Oryctolagus cuniculus: one gene and its partners. The protein of the gene in region 1 interacts with the protein of each later gene in a pairwise test. Links are inferred from orthologs where the notes say so. Each region holds a gene or a part of one and is shown in the gene's direction. Other genes may lie near its edges.

What was found.
Region 2: the proteins of FHL5 (region 1) and CREM interact in a two-hybrid assay, tested with the Homo sapiens proteins (2 studies listed by BioGRID). The link is inferred for Oryctolagus cuniculus from reciprocal best matches to the Homo sapiens genes FHL5 and CREM.
Region 3: the proteins of FHL5 (region 1) and ATOSB interact in binary tests that used the Homo sapiens proteins (3 or more experiments, as listed by UniProt). The two-hybrid records come from large-scale screens. The link is inferred for Oryctolagus cuniculus from reciprocal best matches to the Homo sapiens genes FHL5 and ATOSB.

Annotation. Positions count from the first base shown.
Region 1 is NC_091436.1:75,505,687-75,509,333, reverse strand, and holds part of FHL5 (four and a half LIM domains protein 5), read left to right. Parts: intron 1-3,027; coding exon 3,028-3,214; intron 3,215-3,647. UniProt on the Homo sapiens protein: May be involved in the regulation of spermatogenesis. Stimulates CREM transcriptional activity in a phosphorylation-independent manner.
Region 2 is NC_091444.1:107,394,121-107,397,867, reverse strand, and holds the start of CREM (cAMP-responsive element modulator), read left to right. Parts: upstream 1-942; 5' UTR 943-1,058; coding exon of another isoform or gene 1,059-2,177; intron 2,178-3,747. Other genes in the region: uncharacterized protein, read right to left, coding at 1,059-2,177.
Region 3 is NC_091432.1:198,078,983-198,082,729, reverse strand, and holds the start of ATOSB (atos homolog protein B), read left to right. Parts: upstream 1-1,107; 5' UTR 1,108-1,213; intron 1,214-1,539; exon of another isoform or gene 1,540-1,653; intron 1,654-3,747. UniProt on the Homo sapiens protein: Transcription regulator that may syncronize transcriptional and translational programs.

The DNA of each region.
Region 1 (3,647 bases):
TATTCCAAACAGCTTACTTGATTTGATATTCTAGCTCCATTCATTGCTTTTATAGAAGATATCATCTGTTCTAGAGGAAGGCACACATTTCTCTTTGAATGCAGAATATTTCTTGGAATACAATTTTTGATCCAGTCAGTGTTAACCACTTCAGAGAAATGTGACTTTGCTTTACAGAATGACAAAGGAAGCCAATTTAAATAGGATGTTTAACTCCTCACATTATGTTCCAGCTAAGCACATATCTTCCTGGCTTGAAGCTATTGTATTTCCAAAGAGTAGATCTGTAGGCTCAAGAGATAACAGTATTATGAGGGAAGTTATATGGACATAAAGCAGAAAGAGAACTAAAAGCTGCAAGTCACTTCACTTCCAGCCCCACCGGATAATGTAGGGCCTTCAAACTTGGTTTTCCATTCAAAACACATTTTCCCACTGGAAAAAAGTTATTCTTTTGAAGTAAACTTTGTCCAATTCTTTTTTATCCACTAAGCTTTTATGTGAAACAGTAGCTCACGCCTGTCATCTTGACGAAGCCTGTCTGTATTTCATAAAATATATATTGATGTTCTTGAAGAAATCTGTGACCTGTGAGCCATCATAAGTTTAAAGCAACACTATAAATTGTGATAAGAAAGCTGAATCATGAAAACACATGGGGATTAGTACAATGGTTTATAAACATTTTTGGTCTATGGATACTTTGGCAGATATCTTAAGACCAATTGTATATTTTCATTTGGGCAAGTGGAAATTTCCTCACCACTTCCTAGAGGTACATGTACAAATACACATGCATGTACAAACACATGTTAAATAATTGTTTACATGTTTGAGCAATACCAGTACTGCATTTAAAGGAACACTAAAACACTTTCCTAAAGTATAATTATTAAATAACATGTGATGATGGCTGATGATTATAATTGATAATGTGATATGATATGAAATCATCTTATACCCAAAGACCTTGATTGCTCTACAAGATACATTTACTTTAAAAATACCTTTATAAATGACATTCAGACTTTATGACCCTGTAATTCACAAAACTCCATTGAATTGAATACCAGAGTCAATGGTAAACATTTAAAACAGATGCTTGAAATAACTTGAGGATATTTATCTCACTGTACTGGGAGACAGCCAAATTTACTGATTTGGGGCATCATTTTTTAAAGATTCAGACTAAAATATTAAAGAGAATTATGGAAATTATCCTAAAGTAATTTACTGGACATGGTACGACGTTTCTTTCAATGATGTAAGGACTCAAGAGGAGAACTCTCTAGTATATCAGTGCTGAGCAGTCTAGGCCAAAGTGCTGGCATTTTCCAGGTTATGGGAGCTTGTAACTACATTTAAAATATCATTTTAAATCATCAAAAACTTATTAATTTTTTTGTGTGTGGTAGAAAGATAATGATATGCCAGATTACTTTCTATTTAATTTTTACAACCACAAGTCCTTTAAGGAATGCTAGATAAAATGTTTTTGTTCAAGATGTTCTATGATAAAAATTTTTTCAATCCAAATCAAATATCAAATATTAAAAGAAAAAGATTAGTAAAAACTATTTGATAACATGCCTTTAGAACACTTTCCCATAGATTTTATTTTGTTACCCTAAAAGTTACTTTCTACTAAAAAGCATGTGACCTCAAACCACAAGTGCCTTGAACTCAAACTCCTCAGGGTTCAATTAGAGTTAAATGTATTCTTCAAAACTTCGTTTGTGATCTACTTAGCACAAAAACATTATTGCCTCTACTTTGCACTAAAAGAAACTTGTTCTAAACCCTAGAATTGATCAGTGGCAAAAAACCAAGCTTAGATATTAGACTTCGTCTTAGCCATCTACCACTTCAGAAGGAATATAATCACACGCAAACTATTTTTAATGTTCCAGAGTTTCTTCTTCCTCATTAAACAGTCTTTGGTGTATATACCAAGTTTTATTTTGCTGTGAATATATTTTTCAAGCTTTTAATCTTTTAAACATTGCCTGCTAATCATTTGACCAAACAAATCAAAGGAATCATGAATTCTGCTGTGCCTGCTGTAAGTCATTTGAAGTCAGTAGGGGGTATTTTAAATTGCTTTACTTCATACACACACCACTATGCTTTTCATTTACTTACTCAGGAGAGTATACTATTTTTCCTCTAAGAAAAATAACCTTTAAATTAACTATGTCTAACTTCCATTTGTTGTAAGGTTAAATATCTTTTTGAATAATTTTGTTAAAAGCTTATATCATTGACAGTGACACATTTTAGTTTGTCAACAATAAGTTGACTTAAATTAGATTCTGCATTGTCTGTATCTTGCTAATTTGAATATGAAGATTATTGGAACCAATTCAGAGATAATGTTATTTCAGTCATTGTAAGACATTTACATCAGCATGTTACCGTTTCCACAGACACTTCAAGAGCTCAATAGCCATGGATTTGAGAGATGGCGTAAGTTAAAAAATAGCTGCAAGAGAAGAATTGCCCCATATTTATCCATCTGGTTCTACATAAAAATTTCTCAGCCTTTTAAACTGATTTAGAAAAGACGCCTATTTTGGGGAGAGCCAAAAATCAAATCTGGTAAAACTCCATCATGTCGGTTTAAGGCTTAACATACAACCAGTGCTCATTATGTTGAGTTCTGAAGCCAGGTACACACAACTTCTCACAGCACTCCATTTGTGCTAGATAGGATATTTGAATTGTGTGCCAAAGATGTTTTCCCCCTAGATACTTATTCATTCAATAATGACTTATTAATTGATAATTCATGCAAGGTAACCTTGACACCCAGCATTGTATTAATGTTAAACACACAGGTTGTGGAGTTAGATTGCACAGGTTTGAATGCTGGCTCTTTGAGGCTACAGCAAGTAACAATGACTTTAATCCTAAGTAGTTATTCATCTCTAAAGGGGCAGCCCTAAGCATCAATTGTAAACATAGAATAGAGTGCTTTGAATTGTGGTGGCTCCCATGGTCATTTCCTATTTTATGGTTCTTTGGCAGGTGATAACTTCGGGTGGGATAACTTTTCGTGACCAACTGTGGCATAGAGAGTGTTTTCTGTGTAGTGGCTGCCGGAAAGAGCTCTGTGAAGAAGAGTTTATGTCTAGAGATGATTATCCGTTCTGCTTGGACTGCTACACTCATCTTTATGCCAAAAGATGTGCTGCCTGCACCAAACCCATTACTGGTAAGTTCTTCAGTCCAGTATGGTCCTAACACAAGACCGCTATGATTTTGTAAAATACTCTCCGGTTGATTTAAGAAATCCAAGTGGAAAAAAGAGGAATCTTTGGTTTACATTTCCTTTTGAGGTAAATACAAATGACTACCCATCTATAAATGTAAATATTTCATAAACTTCTCAGGGAAAGGGTAGCTATATTCTGTGAAGAATTAAATATTAAACCTAATGGTACAGAATCTATAAAGTTGATAGTTTAAGAAAAGAGCACAAAATGAGTTCAGATCAGAGAAAACCTTAACAAGAAAGCCTAATCTAAGCCTTATTTAAAGATTTGGGTGGAAGCTGGTGTTTAGCACACTAGCCACTTGGGATACTTGCATCTCAACCTGGAGTGCCTGTCTTTCCTTCTGATTCCGGCTTCCTGTTAATGCATACC
Region 2 (3,747 bases), on another chromosome or scaffold:
TATTTAAAAATCAGAGTCACAGAAAAGAGGGAGAGACAGAGGGATCTTCCACCTGCTGGCTCACTCCCTAGATGGCTGTAACGGCCAGAGCTGGGCCAGGCCGAAGCCAGGAACCAGGGACTCCATCCGGGTCTCCCACGCAGGTGCAGGGCCCAAGCACGTGGGCCACCTTCCTCTGCCTTCCCAGGCCATCAGCAGGGGGCTGGATCGGAAGTGGCGCAGCGGGACTCGAACCTGCTCCCATAGGGGATGCCGGTGTCACAGCAGGTCCCTTTCTCTCACCTCTGCTTACCGCCAGGTCAGGACCCCGCCACTCGCGGCCTCGGGGCTGGCGGAAACCCACCGAGCGCCCCGCGTTGCCCACCCCCGGCAGGGCCTCCACCCGCGCGACTCCCCACGCGTCCTCGCCCGCGGGCCCTCGTGCGTGCCCCGCGGGGCTCCGTTCGCCGTGGACGGCGCGCCTCTTCGAGTCCCCTGCCGGAAGGCGGTCGCTCGGCCCTCGGACCGCCGCGTTCCCGGGGCAGGGCAGCTCCACTCCCCGCCCTCGTGGGTGCCCGCGCACTGACCGGCGGCCTGGGCGAGCTGAGGGAGCTGGGAACAAGCCGGACCGCCCGACAGCCCCCAGGTCCGCAGGCCGCGCCCGCGGGGCTCGCCCCAAGCACGGGCTCGGTCCAGCGGCTCGGCCGGCCACCAGCCCGCGGGCTGCACGCAGCGGGCTTCCGGCGCACGCGCGGCGCATCCGCTTCCGGCCCCTCCCCTCCCCCGCTGGCCCCGCCCCTCCCCGCTGGCCCCGCCCCTCTCCCCGTGGCCCCGCCCGGCCCCGGGTTCCATTGAATTGTTGGATTGTCCCGCCGCACTCCCGCTGGCGACCGGCAGGGGGCGGAGTTCGAGGCTGGGTCTCGGCCGGGCGTCCCCCGGGCGGCGGTCGCGGAGTGGGGGAGGGGGCGCGGTGCCGCCGGCCGCGGCGCTACTTGTGGTTGGTGTCGGAGGGGAGGCGGCGGCGGCCGCCTCGGCGCTGACGTGGGGGCGCCTCGCGTCCGCAGCCAGTGACGAGTCCGCTACGTAAACGCCGTCGCGGCGGGTAAGTGGCGCGCCGGGCGGGCCCGAGACCCAGAGCCGGCGCCGCGGCGCAGGGGGCGGAGGCGGAGGCGGGGCGGGCCGGGGTCAGGGCGCCCGGCCGAGGCCCCCCGGGGGTCCCCTCGGAGCCGCGCGGACCCCGCCGCCCACGCCCAACCGCCGCGGCGCTGAGGCGGTCGCGGCCGGCGGGAGACGCCCGCGGCTCGGAGGGGACCCCGGCGGGGCGGCTCCGTCCCCACAGCCGCCGCCGGTCGCGCCGGGCCGCCCGGCGAGGGTCGGAGTTGGGGTCCGCGGAGGTGGGGGTCGGACTTGGGGTCCGCGGAGGCGGGATCGGACTTGAGGTCCGCCGGGGCAGGGGTCGGACGCGGGGTCCGCGGAGGCGGGGTCGGACTTGGGGTCCGCCGGGGCCGGGGGTCGGACTTGGGGTCCGCCGGGGCCGGGGGTCGGACGCGGGGTCCGCCGGGGCGGGGTCGGACGCGGGGTCCGCAGAGGCGGGGTCGGACTTGAGGTCCGCCGGGGCGGGGGTCGGACTTGGGGTCCGCCGGGGCGGGGTCGGACGCGGGGTCCGCAGAGGCGGGGTCGGACTTGAGGTCCGCCGGGGCGGGATCGGACGCGGGGTCCACCGGGGCGGGGGTCGGACGCGGGGTCCTCGGGGGCGGGGGTCGGAGGAGGGGTCCGTGGAGGCGGGATCGGACTTGGGGTACGCCGGGCGAGGGTCGGATGCGGGGTCCGGAGAAGTGGGGGTCGGACGCGGGGTCCGGAGAGGTGGGGGTCGGACGCAGGGTCCGCGGAGACGGGATCGGACTTGGGGTCCGCCGGGGCGGGATCGGACGCGGGGTCCGCAGAGGCGGGGTCGGACGCGGGGTCCGCCGGGCAAGGGTTAGACGAGGGGTCCGCAGAGGCGGGATCGGAAGCGGGGTCCACCAGGGCGGGGGTCGGACGAGGGGTCCGCAGTGGCGGGATCGGACTTGGGGTCCGCCGGGCGAGGGTCGGACGCGGGGTCCGGAGAGGTGGGGATCGGACGCAGGGTCCGCGGAGACGGGATCGGACTTGAGGTCCGCCGGGGCGGGGGTCGGACGCGCCTGCACCCCCGGCTCCATCCTCCGGGGGAGCGAGCTGCTTTTCCCCTAGAGGAAGGAACGCGCGTGGCACAGCGGTGCGTGAAGCCCCTGGCGGCCCGGGAGTGGCTCGGAGCCGGGCGCATGGACGCGTGGGCCGCCGACACGGGCGCTTCTCTGTCCGTTTTTCGTGTTGCCCCGAAAGTGAGCGCGGGTTCCCCGCTGATGGACTGAACCTGCTCCGGCTCCTCTGTGGGGACCAAGTGGCCTGCGCTCGGGGCCACTGCGGCCGCTTGGTGGACAGCACGGAGCGCGTCCCGCGGTGAGCACCGGGGCGGGGTCCTGCACGGACGCGCGGCCAGCTCGCCAGTGTCCCGGCGCCGCCCCGAGGAGCTGCGGGTTCGGAGCCCTTGCTGTCCCGGGCCGCGGCCCGCATTCGTCCCTAAGGAGAAGCCTGGGATGCCTGACTCGGTGAAGCGCCCTGAACTGATGGGTTCCGCTTGTAAGAGGCAGCTTTGTGAGTCACAAATCAGCGGTGCAAAAGCGCATCTCCGAGAACACACGTGGTCCTTACGCGCGTAGAGACGAACGTTTCGTGATTCCTTGTGGAGGACACGGGAGGGATTGAAAGTGGAAACCGCAGTAGATGAGCTCACGGCATCTCTGACGCCTGAGAAAGCAAACAGGAAAACCCAAGGCTCGCGTTCCTGTCCTCATGACAATAAGTCTTACGGCGTAATTCAGCTGTAGCATTCACAGGGAAAGGTGAGCCCACGGCCGGCTTTCCTGGGCGCGTCTGCGAGACGTATGTGAAACTGCTTTTGTAAGCAGAGGAACTGTACAAGCTATGAGTTATTCGGGAGTTTTGCTTAAATAACTGTCTCATTGGAGAGTAGAGGTGTTTGCCTCTAAGAGAGCTTTAGAAGCTCTTTTTTTTTTTTTTTTTTTTAGATTTATTTATTTATGTGAAAGAATTAAAGAGAGAGATCTTCCATTTGCGGGGCCCCAGGTGACCACACCGGGAGCCAGGAGCTTCATCTGGGTCCCACGTGGGTGCAGGGGCCCAAGCACTGGGGTCAGGGGAGCTGGATTGGAAGGGATTCAGCTGGAACTCGAACCGGTGTCTGCCCAGTGTAGACGTGGGCTGACCCACTGCTGCAGGCCTGGTCCTGAAGCCCCCTCCTGTGAAGGTTTCTGAAACCCCTCCCCTCTCCCCAGCTGGGGAGCATCATCGGGCACGTTCTCTCCAACTGGTGCGCACATGGGTGCCGGCGCTGTAGGCGGCAGCTGTACCCGCTAGGCCACAGCTCAGCCCTGGGGCGTGTTCTCTCAACGGTAGTACAGCCAGGCCAACTACATGGCAAGGCTCTGGGAAACTTTAAGAGTGGTGCTAATGTGATTTCAGTATTTTACTTGAGAGTAAAAGTTTATAAGATAAACTCCCTTCAAAGTTATCTCAGTGAAGTTTTAAAAAATAAAAAGCAGACCTAAAATTAGATCAGCTAATTTAGAATGACAAAATGTCATGCAGTTTTGTTCCTACTCTCAAAGAGCCTTATTTTTTTTTTTTCATGGGTAGCACAGAAAATGATTTATATTTCCTTAAAAGTGT
Region 3 (3,747 bases), on another chromosome or scaffold:
TTCTACTGCTTTCCCAGGCCACAGCAGAGAGCCTGATCGGAAGTGCAGAAGCCGGAACTGGAACTGACGTCCATATGAGATGCCAACACTGCAGGTGGCGGCCTTACCCGTTATGCCACAGTGCCAGCCCAAAATTTTATTAAGTCAAGTAACCTACCTGAATCTATACAGCTTTTTTAAGTGCCCACAGTTCGGAGACCAACCCAGATGGCTATGAAATCTGTATCTTTTCCACTATATAACACTCAAATTTATCTAGGATTATATAAGTATTTGTATTACGGTCTAAACAATAAAGGGCAGAGAAAATGGTTTGCTTGTTTTTCTCTTTTCTGTGCGTGCCTAACACACCAGTGGCATTGAGTAAACCTATTTAAGTGATCAAATAAAATCGGAGAACCTATAAGACTTCCAGAAAATTTCAGGCCCGACTCAGGCCACCAGCTCCTCATAGAGACCCGGGATTGGGGAGCCCAGGGTCGTGGTTTGGCAAGTGTCCTGTGCTGCCATCTACCGGCGTGTGCGAGGCGTCGCCCTGAACTGCGGCACTTCCCCGTGGGCAGATGCGCGAGGACTCAAGCGCGAACTAAATTGCAGATCCTGTGTAACTGTCGCATAGTTCCCTCGACACCAGTACAGGGCAAAGGCCTCGCTTTTCGCCGGTGATTGCAGACTTCTCTTAACCTCACAGCAACCCTCACACTGGTAAAATTCGCAGACCTCCTTGCTGACCCAGTCCCACAGGCACGGAACTGAATCCTACTGCCCATCCCAGAGCACTGACCCTCCTGCCCAGCGTGGGCTCCAAAACCACCCAAACCCACGGCCCGGCCTCCACCATTTTCACAGACCCTTGAGACTCCTTGCACTATCTTGCAGCCCCACAGACCTGTCCCTTTCGGGCAAAGGCACTTGCTAACCTAGACGTCCCAACAGAGAGGCTCGGATTCCTCAGGCGGCTCATCCCAGCGCCGAAGCCTCGAGAAGGTACGCCGGGCGAGCTGGCTCCCCACCCCAGCCCTGGGCCGGCCAGCTCCGGCTCCCAGCCCGGCGGCCGAGGCCCCGCCCCCCAGACCTGTCATCACAGAAGCCGCACGTGGCCGGGGTGGGACCTCAGGCGACCTGCAGCCATCACTTTGTCTCCTCCGTCATCCATTGGGGCCGCCGCCGCCAATCAGAGCCAGCGGATCCGGGCTGGAGCGCGGGCGCCCGGGTGAAGCGAGCGGGAGAAGGAGCGGGGGGCGGGGGGAGGAAGTACTCTGAGAGGGGAGGGGGCTCGCGGTGGAAAAGGGCCTGGCGGGGGTTCTGCCGGGCAGGAGTCGGAGGGGGCGGGTCCCAGAGAGAGGCGGGGCTATCGCGAGGGGGCGGGACCCGGGGCGGGGCCTGGGAAAGCGGAGGATCCTGGGGAAATGCAAAGACGGCGAGCAGAGGGGCGGGGCCTGGGCTACAGAGGCGGAGCCAGAGGAATTAAAGACGCGGGGAAAGGGGACCAGCTGGGGGAAGGTGGGAGGTGGGACAAGGGAGGGGGTGGGCCGGGGCGCTGTGGGGGCGGGGCTCGCGCCGAAGGGGCGAGGTCTGCGGGCCGAGACTGCAGCTAGGACTGCTCCGTAACTGCCCCAATCCTCAAGTGCAACGGGACCCTCGGAAGTACAGGTGTGGGGCAGGGTGCGCGTGGAGGAAGGGCCAAGGACCGGGGTGCGCTGGGGCAGACGTGAGGAAGAAGGGACACCATTAGGGATGGGAGAATCCGGAGACTGCCGAGGGGGGGGTAGGTTGAAGGGGGAGCCGGAGTTGAGGGAGCAGTTGAGGGCTTCAATGTGTGGGCAAGGAGGTGCATTCTCCGTGGGCCCTTATGGGGGCAGGGCGGGAGTGCTTTGTGGGGATGGGAGGTACAATGTTAGGGGGCGGGGTTGCTGTGCGAGGGGGAGGGGATTTGGAGGCGCTCTGGGGGAAAGGAGCTGCGCGATGGAGAAGGGCTGGTGGTCCCGAGTGTGGGAGGGTCGGAGGCCTGGGGGGGGGAGGCCCCGGGTGAAGGGGGGAGCCCCCACTACTTTGAGAAAGTAACAGTCTAGGTCAGCGCAGGGACTCCAGGAAGACATTTGTGTTTTGTGTTCCAGGAGTGAGGCTGATGCAATTAGTGGGGTGAATTTGCCTGTCTGAAGTGTTCCTGTCCGCTGGGCTCCTAACTCAGTCTTCTGGCTTGGGCACTCCGAGAAGGAGCCAGGCCCTACTTGCCACCAGGGCTCGTGTGATTGCCCCCTAGCAAATGTAGGATCCGTCTAGCTGAGACCAGGGTTTCTTCCCCAGCTGGTGTCCCTAGGGACCCTTCACCCACTGGGTTCCTGTCAACCCCCCACCCTAGTTCCTGTTCCTCCCAGAAGCCTGTCTTGGTCTCTGTCTGCCCCCTCCCCCTCTTTGCCCTGCCCTTACGCTCTGGGTGTGCTCATTTCCCACTTCCTTCCTCGCCCTGGGGCCTGGCCTGGTCCTTGCCAGTCTAGGAGCCCTAGGCACCGTGCCCTGCCCCAGACTTTGTACTCCACGACCAGAGACCCTGGTAACCAGCAGGAAGGCTCACTCCCCACTTCTCCCAGCCCCCAGGGCCTCTCCCAGCAAACCCCCAAGTGATGGGTAGCCACAGACTCATTTCCCCTCCCCTGGGTGGGGAATCCTAGGACCCCCAAAACTCTAGGTTTCTCTGGGAGGGGGAGTGGTGGGGCATAGAGAGGGGCTTTGATGTGTTTTCAGAGGTGAGCCACTATTGTGAGCTGAACCCTGGGGAGGCTTGTGAGGGAGGGAGAGGTAGTGGCTCCCCCTCGTTCTGGGCTGGGAAGCTGCCTGTCAGAAGGGGGTGGGGGAGACTTAGCCCTCTTGGGGGCGCCTCTGGTTCCCAGAGGGCACTTGGTGTTGTGCCAGGGTTCTTTTCCCTAGGAGAGGGTGGGAAAGGCTGGGTTTCCACACCGCTGCTGAATGAGTGTGACATTGTTCTTGCCGTAAGGGGCCCCAAGCCAGCCTCCTCGCACAGCCGCTAGGTCGGTGGCTGACTGGCCAGGGAGGGGGGGGGTGAGGCCAGACAAAGCCCTGGGGTAGGGTGGGGTAAAAGAGGGCAGGCTGAAGCCTTTTGAGGAGGAGCTGATTGCTATGGCAACACCGCTTCCCAGACAGTTTCTCAGAGAGGGCGGGCCTAGGGCAGGCTCTCTCTGGCTTCCTCGGACTTGGGGCGTTTTGTGTGGGTGGGTGGGGCGTGAGGAGGAAGGGCACCGCTGGCCGTGCTGGGGCTGGAGTGCGTAGCCTTTCTCTTCGAGCAGTGGAGCAATGAGACGCTTCGTCCCACTCTGGAAAGGATGTGCGTGAACAGCAGCCATTCGACCCACGAGGCCCTCCGCCAAAGCCCCTCATTCTGCAGATTCGGAAATGTATGAGCCAGGAGACTGTGTTCCCCCAGTCACAGTGAAAGAGCAGGAGTTGGGATCCAGGTTTCAGACTGCTCTTTGCTAGCCCCAGGCCCACGGCTTTCTTCACCGACGTTTATTGAGCAACTATCATGTGCCAGGCACTGATGTTAACTGTGGGAATATGAGCATGAACAAAACAGATAAAGCTGATGCTCTCATTGGAGCTTTCTGATAGGGGAGAGAGGAACTGTGTTTACCGGTGTGTTTGTGTGAGAGAGAAACTGCTATAAACACACACACACACACACACACACACACAGAGCAAGCTAAACGTTTGGGACAGTTAGGTAAGGCT